3 linked regions of the Callithrix jacchus genome follow. The protein of the gene in region 3 interacts with the protein of the main gene of each other region in a biochemical or structural test. Links are inferred from orthologs where the notes say so. Each region holds a gene or a part of one and is shown on either strand. Other genes may lie near its edges.

What was found.
Region 1: of the proteins of MCM6 (region 3) and DBF4, one has a biochemical effect on the other in vitro, tested with the Homo sapiens proteins (2 studies listed by BioGRID). The link is inferred for Callithrix jacchus from reciprocal best matches to the Homo sapiens genes MCM6 and DBF4.
Region 2: the proteins of MCM6 (region 3) and MCMBP form a complex in vitro, tested with the Homo sapiens proteins (2 studies listed by BioGRID). The link is inferred for Callithrix jacchus from reciprocal best matches to the Homo sapiens genes MCM6 and MCMBP.

The regions. Positions count from the first base shown.
Region 1 is NC_133512.1:61,855,557-61,859,211, forward strand, and holds part of DBF4 (protein DBF4 homolog A), read right to left. Parts: intron 3,034-3,655; coding exon 2,983-3,033; intron 2,557-2,982; coding exon 2,487-2,556; intron 1,883-2,486; coding exon 1,806-1,882; intron 1-1,805. UniProt on the Homo sapiens protein: Regulatory subunit for CDC7 which activates its kinase activity thereby playing a central role in DNA replication and cell proliferation. Required for progression of S phase.
Region 2 is NC_133513.1:112,957,331-112,960,985, forward strand, and holds part of MCMBP (mini-chromosome maintenance complex-binding protein), read left to right. Parts: intron 1-1,891; coding exon 1,892-1,977; intron 1,978-2,571; coding exon 2,572-2,712; intron 2,713-2,827; coding exon 2,828-2,869; intron 2,870-3,655. UniProt on the Homo sapiens protein: Associated component of the MCM complex that acts as a regulator of DNA replication.
Region 3 is NC_133507.1:94,653,307-94,656,961, reverse strand, and holds part of MCM6 (DNA replication licensing factor MCM6), read right to left. Parts: intron 3,378-3,655; coding exon 3,232-3,377; intron 2,271-3,231; coding exon 2,120-2,270; intron 1-2,119. UniProt on the Homo sapiens protein: Acts as a component of the MCM2-7 complex (MCM complex) which is the replicative helicase essential for 'once per cell cycle' DNA replication initiation and elongation in eukaryotic cells.

The sequences.
Region 1 (3,655 bases), on a different chromosome or scaffold from region 3:
AAATTTTAAACATTTACTTCCATATACAATCTAAACAATCTACTAAGTGTGGCAGAGATAATTATATGCCATTTAGCACAGTCCAATACAGAAATATCCACTTGTATTTTGTGAAAATTTGGAAATAGTCATTTAAATTTTTAATCCATAAATGAGACAAATATTGAGTTTTATTTAAATACTAAATACTTTGCTTTCTGCAAATTATTCTAATATACATGTGAATTTATTAAAAATGTGAAATGCATAGAAACTTTATGCATCCTTATATGTGGCATGTATATACTGAGTAGTCATCATGTAAAATGTATTCAACAAAAAATGAGGGTTAAGTGTGGTGGTGCACGGCTGTAATGTCAGCACTTTGGTAAAGCAGAGATGGGTAGATCACTTGAGCTCAGGAATTAGAGACCAGCCTGTGCAACATGATGAAACCCTGCCTCTGCAAAAAATACAAAAACTAGCCAGGTATAGTGGCTTATGCCTGTAGTCCCAGCTAATTGGGAGGCTGAGGTGGGAAGATTGCTTGAGCCTGGGAGGAGGAGGTTGCAGTGAGTTGAGATGGCATCACTGCACTCTAGCCTGGGTAACAGAGGGTAAGCCTATTTAAACAAACAAAAAAAATTGTGTTCAAGAGTGTAAAAGCCATTTTCCAGTCTTGCCAAATAATTCATTCTTAATGGCAACTGGAAGACCTTTCCAAAATGACTATCCAATGAAGTTACTCTTCTATTTATATTAGTTCCATAATTTTCCAAACCCTCCAACATAAAATCTAACTCCTTTATATCATGCAAAACCCTATATAATCTTAACATACTGATTTTTCCAGCTTTATCTTTTGTCACTGGCACATTCAAAGATCAGGTGTATAATGCTATGCAAGATTTCTAAAATATGCCACCCTACTACAGTTTCATGTCTTTATATACAATTTCCTATCAGCTTATTATATTTAGACCCCTGTAATTTAAGTATTGAACAAAGGAAAAGCAGGCCGCAAAAGAAAGGCCTGAGAAATATGAAGAGGCCACGAGAAAGCTAAGAGATGAAATTTCATAAAAGAAAAGTTTAGGGAAGACATGAACAACAGCTGAGAGAACCAATATGTCTGGCTTTTAAAAAGTGTCAAAATGATAAAAAAACTGGTCTGAAATTTTATACTTTGTAGGTTGAAAAGTGAATGGCAAGTATAAAAGTAGAGATTTGAAAGTTTGGTTAAGGAATTTTAAGGATTAGATAATAAGTAGTTAGGGACATGGGATCAAGGCAGGTTTTACTGTATTTGTTTTAAAGGATGGAAAAGGCCTGAATCTGTATAGATGCTTCAAAGAAGCAACAAGGAAAAAGAAAGGGACTGAAGATAATGGGAACATTAGGTTTAACAGAATATAATAACCAATGTGGTTAACAAATACTTCAAGGTAGCCATGCTAAAACAAGATTTTGTTATACCACCATCTAGAGCAGTTGAAAAGGATAGCATAGTAACTTTTATACAATAGGTTGATTTTAGTGTTTTTCTGCAGAATAAACAAAAGTACCTGTTACAAAACAGCAGTAAAAAAGGGGGCTGGGGAAGCGACATATGCCATTATTCCGGAAACAACTTTTACCTGGTGAGTATGACCCTAAAATTAAACGACACATGATTTATTTGAATAACAGAAAAGCCACATAGTACACAGGCTTGTCCCTACGATTATTTTCTTTTTGGCAGGAAAAATTTACAAATACATAAATTAAAAAAAACCAAGCTTGGTCACTTTAAAAATTTAGTTTAAAATTTTAAAAAGAAAACATACCCCATCTCTTACTGAAGTACTTGATTTCTTGAGTAAATACAACTCTTTTTTCTTTTGTTCAATGTAGTATCTTATGTCTTTATTAAAAGAAAGAAGGTTTTAAGATTAGCAATTTTACTTTTGGAATTAAAAAGTCATTTTTTTTGTAGTTAAATTAGATAAAGAATTTGCCATTATAGGTATCCCTTATGTTATGGTCTAAATGTTTGTCTCCTCTAAAACTCATGTTGAAACTTAATCCCCTATGATAGTACTACTGAGAGGTTGGACCTCTAAGAGGGGATTAATGGGTTAATGGATTAATGGGTTATCATGGGAGTGGACCTGATGTCTTTATAAGAGGATGAAAAGACCTGAGTAAACACACACAGCCTCTCAATCATGTGATACCCTGTACTGCCTCAGGACTCTGCAGAGTCTCCACCAGCAAAAAGGCCCTCACCAGATGCAGCCCTTTGAACTTGGACTTCTTAGTCTCCATAACTGTAAAAAACAAATTCCTTTTCTTTGTACATTACCCTTCTTTGTACATTACCCAGTTTCAGGTATTCTGTTATAAGCAGGAGGAAATAGACTCAGACACCCTTGCTATCAAAATTCCACCAGGTAAAGTCAGGAACCAAAGGACAGACATAAACACTTATAACAAATATTGTCAAAAAAAAATTATAAAATCCTTACCATCAATATGAAGAATTTTTACTCCCCATGATAAGGCATTTGATAATATACTATTTGAAGGAATAAAATCCTGTTAAAAAAAGTTTTATAGTTGTTTAAGGAAATTAAGATGACCTAAATTTAGTAAACACTTAACTATTTGAAGCTTAATGTGTCACTAAGGTGGTTATTTGTAACAGACCCTATAGAGTTACAATAGCCAGGACATCAAGATTTTCTTTTGGCTTTTCTAAAATCAATCCCACTTTATAACCACATCCTTGACAATGTAATACATAAGGCAAGTTTCAAGTTTCCAGTAATATTTTAAAAGTCTAGAAGATGGGGATATTTCTCCATGAAAAGTTAAGTTCTGTACTTTGTAAAATAAAATACATGCTGAGATTCAGGCTTTTGCCTACAAATGTGGAAAATATAGTTTCAGGAACATCTGTAATTTCCAGTTGAGTTTTTAGTAACAAAATGTACAGTGTAAATTTTTATAGTTCCTACTTACATGGTCCTTGATAGCTTTTTCAACTAATAATTTTCCTCTACTTAAACACACCTATAAAAAGATCAGAAAAATTTAAAACATAGTGCTTAACTAGAGAACAGGTTAAAAAGGTTAAAGCAGCTAAGAAAAAATTTATTTGTATTAAGTCTTAATGGCTATCAACATAAATATGTGGTCAAAAGTGATTTCTTTTGAGTCTCATATTAAAAAGTTTCTTTCTCTTTGGTTTTGTAGTAAATTATATTTAACATGAGAAATAAAATAGCTAGGTTTCACTGGAATTCTTTATCTATAATTAGTTGGTTTATATTTTGTTTCCTATTAAATCAAAGATTTAAGAAAAACAATAAATCGTATATACTGTTTTTACATGTTATTTCACTTTATTTTTTGGGGGGAGGGAGATGAAGTCTCCCTCTGCCACCCAAGCTGGAGTGCAGTGGTACAATCTCAGCTCACTGCAACCTCAGCCTCCCAGGTTCAAGCGATTCTCCTGCCTCAGCCTCCCGAGTAGCTGGGACTACAGGCATGCGCCACCATGTCCAGGTAGTTTTTAATTTTTTTTTTAGTAGACACAGAGTTTCACCATGTTGGCCAAGCTGGTCTCGAACTCCTGACCTCATGATCCACCTGCCTTCGCCTCCCAAAGTGCTGCGATTATAGACATGGGCTA
Region 2 (3,655 bases), on a different chromosome or scaffold from region 3:
ATGGTCTCGATCTCTTGACCTTGTGATCCACCCGCCTCTGCCTCCCAAAGTGCTGGGATTATAGGCGTGAGCCACTGTGCCTGGCCTAGTAATTTGCATTTATAAAAAGGATTCGGGTGGTGCTAATGATGCTGTTCAGGGAACCAACTTTGAGGACCAGTTTACTACTGGATTTAACATCTGGGCGTCATAATCATCTGAGGAGTCACCCATCCCTACTTCTTTTTCAGAACTGGCCTTTGTCCAGTTAAGTAACCGTGTTTGGAAGTCCTGCTCAAACATGGTGTTAGGATTGTATGAGCATTTTCAACAAATTCAGCTCCATAACAAGTGTAGAATTTTTGTTTTGTACTCCAAATCTTCATAACACTTGTGTGATGAATACAGATGGTGGCAGGATTGGCCCACTGTGTGGTTTGGTGGTTTTAGTTCACATAAATCTGTATTCCATCAAATAGCTCACTTTTTGGTCTTAGCCAGTTCCCGTAAGTGCCTTCTGTAGATGACATGCTAATTGTAAGGAGTAAATAAACTACACAGTAGATAAATGGACTATCACTTTGACTGGGTGATCAAAATTAACGTCACCAACGAAGGGAAGATGAACATCATGTCTTTCCAGATACCTAGAAGGACAAAATATCACTTAAACAGTAGTTTGAAACCATCATTTAAACAGCAGTTTGGTTATACTTGATTGGAATCTAATCATAAGGGAACCAACAAATCCAAATTGAGAAGCATTCAATGTTTTAAAAAGGACCTTATTCTTCTTAAATAGCAATGTCATAAAATATAAAGCTTGAGGAACTATTTCAGATTAAAGGGGAGTAAAGAGACCTGATAGCTAAATGCAAAAGTGATCCTAGGCCAGATCCTGTACTGAAGGGTAAAAAGTGCTACAGAGGATAGTATTGGGTCAATTTTGAATTTCCTGAGGTTGGTAACAGTACTACGGTTATAGAAGATAGTTTCCTTAGGAGATACACTGAAATATTTTAAGGCAAAAATACGTGATAGTACAACTTAATCTTTTGTTTGTATGTTTGATTTTTTGAGATGGAGTTTCGTTCTTGTTGCCCAGGCTGGAGTGCAGTGGCACGATCTTGGCTCGCCACAACCTCCACCTTCCAGATTCAAGCAGTTCTCCTGTCTCAGGCTCCCCGATAGCTGGGATTACAGGCATGCGCCATCACGCCTGGCTAATTTTATATTTTTAGTAGAGATGGGGTTTCTCCATGTTGGTCAGGCTGATCTCAAACTCCCAACCTCAGGTGATCCCCCCCACCTCAGCCTCCCAAAGTGCTGGGATTGTGGGCGTGAGCCACCACACCCAGCCTATGCAACTTATATGAGTCAGAAAAATAATAAGAGATGGAGCAAATGATAAGCAAGTGAGGCAGGGATACAGGTGTTATTCCCAATTTTTTTGAATCTGGAATTATTCCCAAATGAAATTGTAAACAAACTTCAGCTCTTCATTTCAGGATAGTTGTAAAGATTAACTAAAAACTACATAAAAAGATTTTAAAAGAACAAAGTGCTTTACAAGCAGTGGCTCATATGCTGCTGAATCTAGGTAGCCTTGTATCTCATTCTGTAGGTGTCCCCAGCTTCACTGTGGGTACCAGAGAGCTGGCAGGAAGTCAACATCCTCCTGATTTATAACTGTCCCTCTCCCGGACCAGTACAGTTTCTTGAATATGTCTTGTGTAGTACTTCAGACATGCTGAAGTATAAAATTCATCCTTCTAGCTAGAGTTCATTCTATCATAGTAGCAAATTTTAGTTTGGTTTTTGCTGGCTAAACTATTGTGTGACTCACCTGATCATAGTCTCTGATTATATATTGCCTGTATATTAGCTTTGAAAAGTACATTTCTCTTTTCAGCCCAAAATGGAGTTAATCCTGACTGGGAGAAGAAAGTAATTGAGTATTTTAAGGAAAAGCTGAAGGAAAATAATGCTCCTAAGTGGGTAAGCTTATTGCTGTTTTTGGGGGAGAGGGTTGGGCAGACTGTACAGTTTCTCTTGGTAGAGTAGTAACACACATGTAATTTTAAAATATGTGGATTAATGTGTACTTCTGCTTCAAGTAAGTATGAAAAGACTTTCGTCTCTTGCTAATTAAGCAAATAAATACTAATACATTATGCCTCTAGGTGGCAGTAACTGACTGTATTGCTTCCTAAGACAAATCTTTAGTTGCAAAAGCATCAATTACCTTTGTTTTATTATCTTCATTTTGAAAGAATTGGCGTATGCTAGTTTTAAGAGAAGAGCTCAACCAGGTGAATGCCTTTTTGCTAATTGAAAAGTGTTCTAAATGAAAAACATTTTTTAGCATTCTTTTACATTATGGTCAAATGTTATCTAAACTGGGAAGAACTGGAAGAGAACTTATCCCCAGAATTATGTTGGCCAGTGAGATCATTTGGCTCCCTGGCCAATGATGAGGTATGGGTGGGTGTGTGTTTAACAGTTTGAGTCTGGATATAAAGTTTGTGTATGTATGCTTCATGTTGTATAGACGGGATATTTAGTTGACTTACTTGATTATTTTCTTTTAAGGTACCATCACTGAATGAAGTTCCCCTTCATTATTTGAAACCTAATAGTTTTGTGAAATTTCGTTGCATGATTCAGGATATGTTTGACCCTGAGTTTTACATGGGAGTTTATGAAACAGTTAATCAAAACACAAAAGCACATGTAAGTATTGCTGTTTTCCTGAATTTGTGATATTAATTTTGTTCTTGTGCTGTTTGTGGTAGTTTTGGTTCTGATATATTGATATAATTCTGTTTTCCTCTGTTTTGGGTCATAGGTTCTTCATTTTGGAAAATACAGAGATGTAGCAGAGTGTGGGGTATGTATCTTTAATATATGTAAAACATTTTTAGTAAGAATTTTTCCTAAGCAGAGAATTTGTAATTTGGCTAATCTTAAATTTGTTTATCTTGTGTATAAGTCATAAGAAATCATGTGAAATGTTTTCTTTCTTTTTTTGGGGGGGGGGAAGATTTATTACTTCCAGACAGCAAGGAACAACAGAAACCCAGGATTCAAGTTGAGTGGGTCTCCAAGCCTTAGAAAAGCTGTCCAGAGTAGAGGGAGTCATGTACCCCACTTGCACAAATAAAGAAATGTTTTCTTTATTTGGCTTTATTTAAGAGTTTGATGTGACGTTTTTATTCTTCTAAAGATCTTTTAGAAGGGAAAATACTGTTAATGCCAAAATTAATTTCTCTCTCCCATATCCATATATAATATATATGTAAAACAAAATACCCTAGGTTGCAAAATTAAATTCTTTTTTATTCTTTCAAAGACAAAGCCGGTGGCAATCCCACTGTTTTTCATAGAAAACTGTCAGGATCACCTGTAATATAGAAATTTAGTGAAATAATCATTCCTAGGTAGCTCTGAGATGAGATTCAAAAGTCAGATATTACTCCCTAGGAAAGGCATATTCTCTTTCAAATATACTTAGAAAACTCTAAGAGGTAGAAGGGACCCAAGAGACATCAAGTTTGAGCCTAATGCATACAAGCTAGGATTTTTTGTTTGCTTTTCTTTCTAGGCCCAAGGTACCTTTTTCCTAAAATGACTCTTTTATTTATGATTTTTCAGCAACATGTGTACTGACTCTCTC
Region 3 (3,655 bases):
TTAGGCACCTAAACCACAGTTCGAATGTTTTCTCCTATACCACAAATGTCACAGATGCCAGTGCTCACCATCCTAAGAGCCTTTACTTGTCCATGAGTCCTACTTCCTACACAAAACCTCACCCAATGCCTTAGCCCTGTCTCCTGATAAATAAACTACGTCCACCAAAGCCTACCACATTTGCTAGTCCTTTTTAATGGCTGTTCTCATAGTTCTTTCAAGTGTTTGAGGAAATGGTTCATAACATTTCTTTTCTAATACCTACAGTGACCAGCACTGAATAAATACGTTAACCGAATTCATGTGGATTAAATAAGATGCTGAATACAATTTACAGCTGCTTAGTTCATAAATCCAAGAAGAAAAAGTGTAATTTTCTTTAAAAAGAACACTGCTATTCAAAGAAACATTTTTCTGTGGAATTATCGACTCTGTGAACTCCATCAACAAAGTGCTATGCAAACTTACATTAGGCATTCCTTAATGTGGAAAATTAGGCTCTGTGTGGTGGCTCATGCCTGTAATCTGAGCATTCTGGAAGGCCAAGGAGGAGGATTGTTTGAGCCCAGAAGTTTGAGACTAGCCCACGCAACATGGTTGAAACCCCATCTCTAAAAAAATTTTTCTTTTTAAATTAGGTTGGCATGGTGGCAAGCATCTGTAATCCCAGCTAATATGGGGGCTGTGGTGGGGAACTGCTGAGGCCCAGGAGGTTGAGGCTGTCATGAGCCATGTTCGCTGCCACCGCACTCCAGTCTGGGCAACAGAGTGAGACCCTGTCTCAAAAAACAAAACAAAACAAAAGTGGTAGAAAATTAAAAACCCATTCCACAAACAAAACTTCTCTAACTTATATTTAGATAGAAATAAAGGGCAGAGTGCAGTGGCTCACCCGTGTAATCCCAGCGCTTTGGGATGCCAAGGCAGATCACTTGAGGCCAGGAGTTCGAGACCAGCCTGGCCAACATGGCAAAAATCCCATCTCTACTAAAAATACAAAAATTAGTCTGGCATGGTAGCAGGTGCCTATAATCCCAGCTACTTGGAAGGGCTGAGCCAGGAGAATCACTTGAACCCAGGAGGCGGAGGCTGCAGTGAGCCAAGATCACGCCACTGCACTCCAGCCTGGGCAACAAAGCAAGACCCATGTTTCAAAAGAAAAAAAAAGATACAAGCGCCAAAAGTGGTGGCCTACACCTGTAATCCCAGCTACTGGGGAGGCTGGAGGTAGGAGGACTGCTTTAGCCCAGTAGGGACTGCTTCAGCCTAGATAACATAGCAAGACCCTGTCTCTTTAAAACACACATGCATGCGCATGCATGCAAAACAACAAAAGGCTAGGAGACTAGTCTATCATATTGAAACACACTTAAGTGCAGTTCTGTCACAAGGCCAGGAAATAAGATGACAAAATGACCTTTTCTTAAAAAAAATTGTGATAGGCCGGGCTTGGTGGCTCACGCCTGTAATCCCAGCACTTTGGGAGGCCAAGGCGGGCGGATCACGAGGTCAAGAGATCGAGACCATGCTGGCCATGGTGAAACCCCGTCTCTACTAAAAATACAAAAATTAGCCAGGCGTGGTGGCACGCACCTGTGGTCCCAGCTACTCGGGAGGCTGAGGCGAAAGAATCGCTTGAACCCAGGTGGAGGTTGCAGTGAGCCGAGATTGCGCCACTGCACTCCAGCCTGGTGACAGAGTAAGACTCCGTCTCAAAAAAAAAAAAAAAAATATGATAAAAATAGATAATAAACTCATCATTTTAACCATTTTTCAGTGTATAGTTCAGTGGCAGTCAGTACATTATGTTGTATAACTGTCACCACTATCCCTTTCCAGAACTTTGTCGTCATCCCAAATAGCAACTTTATCCATTAAATAACTCATTTCTCTCATTTCCCCAGCCATTGGTAACCTCTATCCTACCTTCTCTCTATGAATTCGCGTATTAGAGGTACCTCGTGTAAGCGAAATCACGTACCTGTCCTTTTGAGGTGACCTTTTAGACTCACTAAAAACTTTCATTGTCTGATTTACATGCTTTAAGAAATCATTTGTGGCTATTTATAATCATTATTTTGATTTCAAGTTTATGCTATGGATGGAATGGAATTCTTACCATGTATAGTAGGGAATAGGCTGGTACAAAGATTGTGGTATAGATTTTTATCTTGACTCATCTCAAACACTTTCTCCCATTCTTTCACGGTCATTTGGTTCTTAATGCTCTCAGCTGTCTGTTCCTCATCTCTGAGCTCTTTCCCTCCAAACTAAGGGTAGAGAACAAAGGAAGAATTATTAGTACAGAAGCAATAAAAACAGTGTAAAGGAGAAGAAACTTCATTACAAACAACATAGCATGGGAAGTCAACCTAACAATTTATTGACTGTAAATTAAAAAATAATAATAAAATAAATTCCCCAAACTAGTAAGCCCTCAGTTAACAAAGACACTTAGGGTTTGTCATTTGTCCAGTGAGTGAAAAAGAAAAAAAAGCTACCACTACTGTTTTATACCTATATTTAAAACAATCTGAATGCTCAAGAGATGAGTAGAATGTTCATCACTGACATAAAGATGCAAATAACATGATGTTCACTCTCTTTTTTCCAACACTGAACTATTTTCCAAATTCTCATTTATGACACAGAATCAAGTTAACTGAACGATACTGCCCAGGGTTCATCGTTCTTAGAAATTTACTTCCCAGATTACTAAATCTTTTTATTTATATTTCCTCCAGAAGTATAACAGAGGAACTGTAAAACTTAAAAGCAGGGTGGATAATTTGTACCACTGCATGTAAAGCATTGAGCTCTTATGTAAGACATCAAATAAGACATTTTTTTTTCAAGATCAGAAAGACATACATCAAAAGATTTGGTTTTAAAACTCATGAAATCTCAACCCCATCCCCTGCTCTTAACATTGACTAGATAACCTAGATGTCTCAGAATCCTATCACTTTGTGGCAGTCTAAGGGCAGGTCTTTCTTAAGCTGTCATTCTAAGACTCACTGTTGGCCAGCATGGCCAAGAGAGCAAGATCTCATCTCTAAAAAAATTTTTTTTAACTGTGCACCTATAATCCCAGCTACTCAGGAGGTTGAGGTGGTAGGATCACTTAAGCCCAGAAGTAGAGACTGTAGTGAGCCATGACTTTGCCATTGCACTCCAGACTGAGTGAGAGACTCTGTTTCAAAAACAAACAAAAACCTAAAAACGACTTACCCTTGGGTTGGTTGGTGCAACACAGCAAGCAAGGAAGACCAGCCTGTAAGAAAGGTCCCTAACACCAAGGGCCCGGAGTCCTCGAATGCCTTCTGTCTCATATCCATCAACACCACTGACACGGGAATTAGTTTCTGCACGTGCTCCTGAAACAGAATGACAGGGTATTTCACAACTTAAACAATAAAGGAGCTGAACATCAAAATTGCTCAAATAAATGAAAGTATAAATCCAAAGACTTCACTTAAGCCTTGAAAACTTTCAGAAAGCACCATTTGTGGCAAAACCAATTTGTTTTTATTCTCATCACACTTCCTTGCTCAGCTTCTGATTGGCAGCCAAAAAGAAGACAATGAAGATGTGAGAAGCTATACTCTGCAGTTTAGGTAACTGAGAATTTGTTAAATCTGAGCCACAGATTACT